Linked DNA regions of Bombyx mori. The protein of the gene in region 1 purifies or fractionates together with the protein of each later gene. This does not show direct contact. Links are inferred from orthologs where the notes say so. Each region holds a gene or a part of one and is shown on either strand. Other genes may lie near its edges.

Evidence for each region.
Region 2: the proteins of cleavage and polyadenylation specificity factor subunit 1 (region 1) and pre-mRNA 3'-end-processing factor FIP1 fractionate together in Homo sapiens (co-fractionation; 8 studies listed by BioGRID and IntAct, with this or other methods). This does not show direct contact. The link is inferred for Bombyx mori from reciprocal best matches to the Homo sapiens genes CPSF1 and FIP1L1.
Region 3: the proteins of cleavage and polyadenylation specificity factor subunit 1 (region 1) and symplekin fractionate together in Homo sapiens (co-fractionation; 5 studies listed by BioGRID and IntAct, with this or other methods). This does not show direct contact. The link is inferred for Bombyx mori from reciprocal best matches to the Homo sapiens genes CPSF1 and SYMPK.

Annotation. Positions count from the first base shown.
Region 1 is NC_085134.1:8,450,109-8,453,770, forward strand, and holds part of cleavage and polyadenylation specificity factor subunit 1, read right to left. Parts: coding exon 3,602-3,662; intron 2,536-3,601; coding exon 2,321-2,535; intron 1,425-2,320; coding exon 1,278-1,424; intron 120-1,277; coding exon 47-119; intron 1-46. UniProt on the Homo sapiens protein: Component of the cleavage and polyadenylation specificity factor (CPSF) complex that plays a key role in pre-mRNA 3'-end formation, recognizing the AAUAAA signal sequence and interacting with poly(A) polymerase and other factors to bring about cleavage and poly(A) addition.
Region 2 is NC_085121.1:13,340,036-13,342,779, forward strand, and holds part of pre-mRNA 3'-end-processing factor FIP1, read right to left. Parts: intron 2,142-2,744; coding exon 1,955-2,141; intron 1,856-1,954; coding exon 1,712-1,855; intron 1,188-1,711; coding exon 1,117-1,187; intron 482-1,116; coding exon 355-481; intron 1-354.
Region 3 is NC_085124.1:2,856,322-2,859,983, forward strand, and holds part of symplekin, read right to left. Parts: intron 3,260-3,662; coding exon 1,674-3,259; intron 1-1,673. UniProt on the Homo sapiens protein: Scaffold protein that functions as a component of a multimolecular complex involved in histone mRNA 3'-end processing. Specific component of the tight junction (TJ) plaque, but might not be an exclusively junctional component. May have a house-keeping rule.

The DNA.
Region 1 (3,662 bases):
TAACAATTATTGCAATGACGAGTGGATTGTGGATATAAAAACTCACCCGCCCCCTAGAAGTGATATCCTCGCTGTAATTATAATTAGTTCCTATCGCTATGTAACCGCGGAGACCGGATCTAGAACAAGAGAAAAACAAAGATGTACACTACGATCGTTGTGTCGCTTTGTGATAAGAGTTCTATATAAACTTTATAAATCGAATTCTTTTTTTACTTATTAATTTTATACAAGCTAACCCGGCAGACTTCGTAGTGCCTCCATCGATAAGTAAAAGAAACTTTTGTATAAAATAAACGTAAAATTTATCTACCTTTTAAACCTTCTCTGGACTTTCACAAATAATTCAAGACTCAAAATTAGCCAAATCGGTCCAGCCGTTCTCGAGCTTTAGCGAGACTAACGAACAGCAGAAATCATTTTTATATTATATAATTTATATATTAAAGGGTCCCCCAGTAGTCGAAATTATTCTATTGTCTTCTTCTAATGGTTCTATTGTCAAAGACTATTATACTTTTATAATCACAAATTTCGCTAAGACTACACTATAGACAAACAATATTAATCTATTCTCAATTTGACCACAGACTTAAGCAATAAACAAAAGAGTATTTATGCGTGTCTGTGTCAAGTACATGGTAGTGTGTCTAATGCTTTTTTTTTTATTGACCTCATGTATATTATATGCATAATTTAAAAAAAAAACAATGTTCAATGAAATTGAAATTGAATCAGATCAGATGTCAAATTGAATTTCAATGAATAAAGATTTCATACTTGTCCGTCGCGCAATTTTCGTGAAAAGGGGTACAAAGTTTTTGCTTCACGTATTAATATATAGATGAGCACTTTTTTTTGACGTGACAACGTCTTATAATTCGATGGAACCGGCTGCACGCACGAAAAACATGACTCATGCGGCGTTACCTCGCTCTGAGACGTTCCATTTAAGGCTTGAAGTGCAAGCGAGAGCGCGCAACGAACGACAAAGACGCACAATCGGCCTCCGCGTTCGGCAGCGTTCGACATCTGTTCTTTTGAAAAATGAAACCATTCCATCAGTATTGTCTTATGACGTTGTCACGTTCAACTATCGTCAGTAAACCGACTTTTCAGACAAGCGAATTTTTTATTGCCCTTGTAGGCAGACGAGCATACGGCCCATCTGATGGTGAGTGGTTACCGTCGCCCATGGACTTCAGCAATGCCAGGGGCAGAGCCAAGCCGCTGCCTACTTACACTCTAGCCTTACTGTTGTGCAGCAAAACGTTTACCTGGTTCCTTCGTACGACAGCGACACGTTCTTGAGACACGTCACGTGCTCCCACTCGTCCAGCTCGATCTTGGTGTTCGGTATGATCTCCCAGGAGACGGGGGAGAACAGCATCACCGAGAAGCGATCCAGCATCGGGTACGGGAACCTGGAATCGTAACATTGATGAGACGAGCTCTTCGCTTGGAGCGTGTCGACAGGAAACGTGTTCATTTTCAAACGGCCGTCTGGTGTAGTGGTAAGTGACATGGTCACTACACAAGGGGGTCGCGGGTTCGAATCCCGCCAAGGGAAGATATTTGTATGATAAATATAAATGTCTTTTCCAGGGTTATGGATGTATATTAAATATGTGTATAATAAAAATCTTACATTTATATCCGTTATCCGGTACCTGTAACACAAGTTCTTTACGAACTTATCACGGGACCAGTTAACGTGGCGTGATTGTTAGTAAATATTTATTTATTTATTTTGTACTTCGAAGTGAAACTTCTTTAGAATCGTTGATGAAACGAAAAAATAAGTCCGTAGTGTTTTTTTTTAATACAGTGCCATCTATGAGATTTTTTTAACTAACGTGTGTATGAAACCACTTGTAGTGAATTTTAATTTAGGATTATACGTGAAGTTAAAATATCAATTCACAGAGGGCGCTACCTCATACTATAAAAGTCGATTTACAATTATTTACTAATGACAAAATTTTACATATACTTAAGACATTTGGGATCCCCAACATCCCCAAACTCCAGTGTGAGAGGCTTAAACGACAAAGGGAAGATCTTCCACCGAGCGGGTAATATTGCTCGATAGACCGACGGTCCGGATGTTGTTGTTTGAAATTTGTATATATGCAAACTTATCTTGAAAATGTCGTGAGCGAGATTCAGGCATCTGTCGAATATCTTGCGTTGTATGATGGCTACCCGCCACATTAGCAACAAACACTCCGGTTTGAGCCCCGTGAGCTCACCTACACGTTAGGGCGAAGCAGCACAGGTAGGAGATAAGAAAGGCTGCCCGATCTGAAGCACCGCATACCTGTCCCCTTTGTTCTCGGCAGACTTCTCCTTGTCCTCGCCGTTGAACTTGTAGTAGACCGTGGTGGGCTGCGAGGTGGAGGCCACGAGGCAGTAGGTCCTGGACTCCAGGTGGAACGTGACGTAGTGCGGCGTCATGCGGATGGGCACCTTGCGCACCGCCCACGCCGCGTCGTACGACAGGTGCGACGGCAGCGCGCAGATGCGGAGCGACGACTGCGAGGCGGGAGAGGGGCAGGGGCGTTGGAGGAGAGTTCATATAACACAACTAAATTGTTTAGTGATTTTTTTTTATTGCTTTAATGGGTGGACGAGCTCACAGCCCACCTGGTGTTAAGCGGTTACTGGAGCCCATAGACATCTACGACGTAAGTGCGCCACCCACCTTGAGAATAAGTTCTAAGGTTTTAGTGCAGTTACAAGGGCTGCCCCACCCTTCAAATTTAAACGCATTACTGCTTCACGGCAGAAAGGGTGGGGGTACCTACCCATGCGAACTCACCAGACGCCCTACCACCAGTAAAACATAAACACTCAGATTTTTATTTATTACATGGATGAGTAAGAAGCTGTATACATTGCGTCCTTTGATTGATGTATATTTTATACAAAGAATGTGTAAAGATGTTACAGGATTGCCCCGTTAACTTTAATTGTTTTTGAAGTGAAACTTCTTTAGACGCATAGTAGGTAGGACGATTGTGAGTCCGCACGGGTAGGTACCACTACCTATTTCTACCGTGAAGCAGTAATGCGTTTCGATTTGAGGGGTATGGCAGCTGTTGTACTGCAAAACTGAGACTTAGAACTCATGTTTCAAGGTGGATGGCGGTATTTACGTTGTAGATGTCTAAGGGCTCCGGTAACCACTTAACTTAGTCCTTGCCAGTGACAATTTATGATATATTTTTTGAAGTGACACTTCTAATAAGACTTCCAACAAAGGTTGCGTTAAACGTTTAACGCTACCATGAAACAGAAAGAGACAGAGCGAGAGTGAACGCGTGGCACTCGAGCGCACGCGCTCAGTATACCTGTTACAGGCCAGCGCGAGTGTCAGCAACGAGTAGCGGCCAATATTTTAATGAAGTATTAAGTAAATATATAATATAAATGTTGAAGTTGCCGCAACTCTTATACACAGCGTTCCCAAGAGCAATCTGATTTAAGGATGAAAAATGAAAAAAAAAACCAAAATAGTACACATCGAACGAGAAGTTTCACTTCATTCACGCGCACCTTAGTGCTTGGCTATCATTGTTGCGCGAGTCCCTGAACTGACCTCGGCGTTAAAGTACAGGAAGCCCTGCGGACAATTGGTGTTGTTGAAGGGCGCGAACGTG
Region 2 (2,744 bases), on another chromosome or scaffold:
TTTTTTAACTCTGTCATTTAAGTCATTTTAAAAGCATTTGCAAGCAGAAACGTAATACAAAGTTGGGATCACCTAGCCGAGCATATTATGTTGAACTCTACTAATAATTTCCAATCACTACATAGTATAAAACAAAGTCGCTTTCTCTGTCCCTATATCTGTTCCTATGTATGCTTAAATCTTTAAAACTACGCAACGGATTTTAATGCGGTTTTTTTTTAATAGATAGAGTGATTGAAGAGAAAGTTTTATATGTATAATAACATCCATTAAATAGTGGAGAAATCAATAATAAATTACAACTTCCGAAGCGAAGCGAGGGCGGGTCGCTAGTAAAAGTATAAGTATATGTACCCCATGGCTCGTCATATGTAGCGTGCGGGGGCTGGTAGTAGTCAGTGGGCGGCCCAGAGAAGAACTCCGGCGGCGGCATCTCGCGGGGGTGGCCGCGCCCGTACTCACGTCGCTCCGCTGTCATCACCTAAACCACAAAATACAATGTATTGTTATAATATTAATAAAAAAAATTATTTCATTGAAAGAGCTGAAGTGTTTACTAGGTTCAAAGACCTTACCGATTTCCAGTTTCTCCCCTCTTTAAAATAGATTTGGTTAGGTTAAGTCGTGAACAGATGTTGTGGACTAGTGTTGAGAGATCATTAGGTTTTATCATTTAAGTAGGTCATTATGCATTATGGGATAAAATTCTTCGTATTTTATTAAAATATTTAGAGGGGTGAAAGACTATTAAGCGATAAATTTTGCAACTTTAGATAGGCATCGGCTTGGCTCTGCCCCTGGCATTGCTGACATCCATGAGCGACGGTAACCACTCACCATCGGATGGGTCCTATGCTGGTCTGCCTATACGGCAATAAAAAAATACAGAAGAGCCATTTAAAACTTAATATTTGAAAAAATATCATAACAAGAACGCTTCTTCAGTTATTTGAATGGAGTCAACTTAATTGAAGTTCAATTAAAAACATTGAACTGTTAACACTAATCCTTAATAAAACGCACCATTAGAAAGATAAATTTCGCGTAATAAGTGAAATGTCGCTTAAGCGTAATAGCTTTTCACCCATCGATTTCAATTAAATAACATATTTGTACCTGAATAGTGTTTTCTCTGGACTGATAGTTATTTGTCATGGGAGGTGGTATTCCATCATCGTGTCTAATGTCTGTAAAACAGAAAATTTATAAAAATATCTGAATTCTGCATATCAAACTGTTCAACAAGCAAATGGCCAGTGGGCATATGGTTTACTAGTAGCTGACGTTCATTGCAGTAGTTTTACGTGAGTAGTATCTTCATGTCGACGCTTGAAAGGCAAACGTGACTAAGCGACAATGCGTGAACTTTACAGAAGACTAATTTAAAGTAGAAATTAATTTAAAATATACCTGAAAAATACCCGAAAAAAATTATATTTTAATGAATCTAGCTGTAGGATTGAAATAATTTTAATAGACATAGAAATATATATTTTGCGCATCGAATATGATTATTGCCTATCATTTATGTATAAAGCAGTTATTGTCGCTTAGTCACGTTTGCCTTTCAAGCGTCGATATACTTTTATACGTAAAGTGATTTTTGGGTTACAAATTAAATGAACAAAATTACAATTTAAAAATTAAATGAACATTTTATATTACATACTATTAAATATTATTAAATAAGTTAAGAATGTATTAATCTTACTTGGGGGGCGCCTCATGTCTGGCATTGGTGGACGGGGAACCGATCCCATATGCATTCCCACACCTGTTTCGTTGATTCGCATTCGTCGCTGCCGCTCACAATAAGCACTCCATGTTACTTCATTGAAACCATAATTGAAATAATCTGTGAATCGAAAATGGATTGGACAAGACTGTAGTAATTGATTATTTTTATAACCATACAAGACAGATGGATTTCACATCAATTCATTACAATATTAACCTGATATATCAGCACCCGGCTTATTCCAAGGTTTATCTTCTATAGTATCAATATTGAATTCCAAAGCGGGAACTCCATTAATACTTCCTGGCCCCTCCAAGTCCTCTAATGTCACTTTTCCACTTGTTGTAGTTACTGAACGAGGTTTCTCAGGTCCCCCTGCAGAAGCTACCAAGCCAACTCCCCTCTGAAATTGTAAATAGTCCCCAATTATGTATGAAAAAGGAACACAACTTGTTCTTTCAGATATTTGTGTGATCAATAAGTTTTTTGGCTCTTTGCATTTATTTAGACTTAACTATGTATGTATGTGTACATCAGTTTCCAATTCTCACAGTACAGGGAATCCTATTTTGTGCTAGGTGATTGCTTAGATGATTTTTTACATTACAAGTTTCTTGTATAACATGTATCAGCATTAAAACAGAACAATGAGTTTAAAATTTGCACCAACTCAGATAATTTTAGCAAAATATTCATTGTTGGCTAAGGACCTCGTCTGAGCTTATGGGCTTCAAGCTACTCAATGAACATTAAATGAGCTCACTGGCTCAACCTGTAGATAGTTACTAACACTACGAAGTCGTTGTGGCCTAAAGGATAAGACGTCCAGTGCATTTGTGTTGAGTAATGCACCGGTGTTCAATCTCAGGCGGGTAACAATTTTTCTAATGAAATAAGTACTTAACAAATGTTCACAATTGACTTCCATCGTGAGGGAATAACATTGTGCATTATAATATGCGTAATTACTGGTGGTGGGACCTCTTGTGAGTCTGCGCAGGTAGGT
Region 3 (3,662 bases), on another chromosome or scaffold:
AGGTCTCGATCGAGTCAAAGGCTTTCTCGTAGTCCACAAACGCCAGACATAGTGGCAGATTATACTCTTCAGTCTTCTGTATAATCTGCCGAACTGTGTGAATGTGGTCCACGGTACCAAATCCTCTTCGGAATCCTGCCTGCTCCGGAGGCTGGAAGTCGTCAAGTCTCTGAGCGAGACGATTCGTTATGACTCTCGAAAACAATTTGTAGACGTGGCTCAGGAGCGAGATGGGGCGATAATTCTTTAAAAGTGTTTTATCTCCTTTTTTAAAGAAAAGGACAACTATGCTCCTGCTCCACGCCTTTGGAGTTCTACCGGTAAAGAGGACAGTGTTAAAGAGCTTCTGGAGCTCCATAATAACAGGAAGACCTCCTGCTTTCAAGAGCTCAGAAGTAACACCATCCTCGCCCGGGGCTTTTCCGTTTTTAAGATTTTCAAGAGCCATCCCGATCTCGTCCACACTAATCTGTGGCAGCTCGTCGGTGTAGTGGCGAGATAGTGTGGCTCGGACATCTGCTGGGTCAGAGGCAGACTTGGTGGTTTTGGAAATATAGAGACGTCCGTAGAAGTCCTCAATTTCCTTGAGAATCTCCGGTTTGGAGGCGAGAATTTGGCCATCCCTTGTGGTCAGTTTTGTAAGGTGGCTTCTACCAAGACGCTGCACGAACACCTTGGCTCCTCGGTTTTGCTCAATTGCGTCATTGATCCGCTGAGTATTGTACCGTCGGAGATCGCGTCGTATCAGCGTCCTGATTTTCTTACTAAGAGCCATCTTCTCTGATTGTGTGGCCTGTGTGTTTTCTCGCCTTTCTTCCATTAACCGGAGAGTCTCGGATGATAATTTTGATTTTCTGCCTGTACGACCCTTTGGACACAATCTCTGTCCCTCTTGTCTCAGTGTCCTCACCACGCCATCTAAGGCCTCGTCTACGTCTGTGGTGGTTTCCAAGGCAGCGAATCGGTTGTGGAGATCTAGCTGGAATTGCTCCGGATCTACAGCCATGTGATGTAGGCTGGGTCGAAGCGTAGACTTTATTAGACGGCTGCGTTCTAACTTGAAGTCCATATTCAGTGTGCCTCTGACAAGTCGGTGATCACTACCGGTATTGAACCTGCTGATCACAGAGACATCCCTGAATATATGTTTCTTGTCCGTCATAATAAAGTCTATCTCGTTTTTCGTCACAGTGTCGGGGCTTAGCCAAGTCCACTTTCTTTGTGGCTTCTTTTCAAAGAACGAGTTCATTAGAAAGAGCCTCTCGCGCTGAAGGAAGTTGACTAGCATTTGCCCCCTGTGGTTCCTACATCCATAACCGAAGGATCCTAGCACCGATTCGTCGCAAGTCTGTACTCCAACTTTAGCGTTAAAATCTCCCATGACAACATTGAAGTGGGCTTTTGTGGTATTGTGCAGAGCCCTGGTGATATCGTCGTACACAAACTCCACATCGTCATCCGAGTATGACGAAGTCGGTGCGTATACTTGCACCACCTTAAGGGAGTACCTTTCGGTGAGCTTAATTATGAGGTACGCTACCCGTGTCGACACACTGGATACCTCTACAATGTTGCCCGTGAGGACTTTATTGACGAGAAAGCCAACTCCACCTTGTCCAGGTTGGTCTCCTTCCCGGAAGTAATAAATATTAGTAAGTTAATAAGTTACTTACAAACATGACAGACCAACGATGTCACATATTTGTGTGCCCGAGGTGGTCTCATCAAACACAATTCCTCTAGCAACTCCAAAGCCAGCAGAGCCACCTGATCTTCAGTGACCAAGTGCTTCAAATAATCCAGGGCCTCGTCCGTGATCACCGGACTCTCCAAATATATCTTCCTTAGTAAAACATCTTTGCATCCTTCCATGACAGGGTCGCCTCTCTCGGATATCTGGGTGACCAGAGCACAGAGCAACTGGTTGTAGTTTTGATCGTGCTTCTCGTGCAGTTTCGGTTGTAGGGTCACCGGATGTCGGTTAAAGCCCTGCATGAATGCGTATTCTTCATATAACCACTTCAAAGCGAGGTTGATGCGCTCGGCGGGATTGTCTAAAATGTAATTCAGTACTAGATCGCGCGTTTCCGGCGTGTAACTCGAAGCGAATATCGTGATGAATTTGGCCCGGATCTGTTCGGCTCCACCGATAGCGGCGTCTTTTTCCGCATTTAAAATCCTCTCAACGGCCTGCAGTATCAACTTTTGCTTTATTTCTTTTGGGATGGGCCGTGTTATTTCCTGTAGTTTCAATAGCTTCACTTTCTGTTTCAGTTTAGGCACCGTCGGAGTAGGTGGAGGAACCGGTTTCTCTTTCTCCTTTGCTTTCCTCTCTTCCTCCTTCAAATGTTCCTGTCTCGTTTCTTCCATTAGTTTAGAAACCGCACTCTCTATCTGCCTGTCTTTTGTTGACTCTTGTAATTTAGCTACAGCATTTTTGAGGGTAGTTTTCTCATCATCTTCCCTTATTAACGGTATTTTCGCAGCTATATCGGATAAGCTCTGTTGTAATACTGTCTGGTTAGGTTGTGTATCTACCTCCATTGATTGTGTAACTATTTGTGTATTTTCTGATTCACCTCTTATTAAGCTCATCAACATTTTAGCCAAGTTCTTCTTTTGTACTTTGCTACCAGAGTTAGGTATTGGCTTGTAATCATTTGTGAACGAGGGCGGCATGTTATCTGGTAGACAATTCTGCAATGTTTTCATGACAAGATTAACAACATTGTCCACAGAATTTAAGCCTTCGAGGATACTGTCTTCTGTTGCCGAAGGCTTCGTGATGCTTGACTGGCTGTCATCGTCATACATGAATTCACTACGGCTGTTACTGTCGCTACCTTGACTATTACTTTGAGGTGAATCGATTCTGAACCGTTTAGATGGTGTATCCCCATTCCTAATTTCCCCTAAGCGTTTGTTTCTTTTCTCTTTCGGTACCGCCTTATTAATCTCTTGTGCTGTCATTCCGATATCAATTAGCAATTGTGTCAACTGCGGCATCATCTCATTAGAAGTTGATTGTTTTATTAAATTCAATATCTGCATTTTGAGATGTTTCCTGACTGAATTGACTTGAGACTGCGATAGAGTTGGAGGTAGTGTCGTGTGAAGATCGCCTAGTGCTTGTATGACTCGGGGCAAGTATTTAGGACGGAATTTTGCTAAAGAACATAGCGTTGTCATACAAGCCATCAGGTTTACACTTGATATGTGCTGTGAATTATGAAATTTGACCAGTAGTTTGAAGATATGGCTGAAAAATAAGGTTTATAAAATAAAATTAAGCTAACATTATAATTTTTTATTTAATATTTTTGGGTCTGCAATAAAAAGTAGCTATTGAATGGTAAACAATCTCACACCTAATCTGGTGTCATTATAGACATAATTTGAATGCTGATGAGCCCTACCGCACTAAACGACTCCCCTGCACTCTTACCGCCCGGGGTCAGAACCCGGTCAGAGTAGGGGCGGTCCCGTGGTCAACAAAATGCTGATGACCCACCTTAAGATATGAGGTCAAAATGTGGGACTCAATGGTATCGTATGATGGCTATCTCGCTTAATAGAACTTGAGACTGTTTTGCCACAAAAAATATACATGTAATATACCTGTAGGGACTAACAAAACGCCTTACTACTCTGAATTAAGCAAA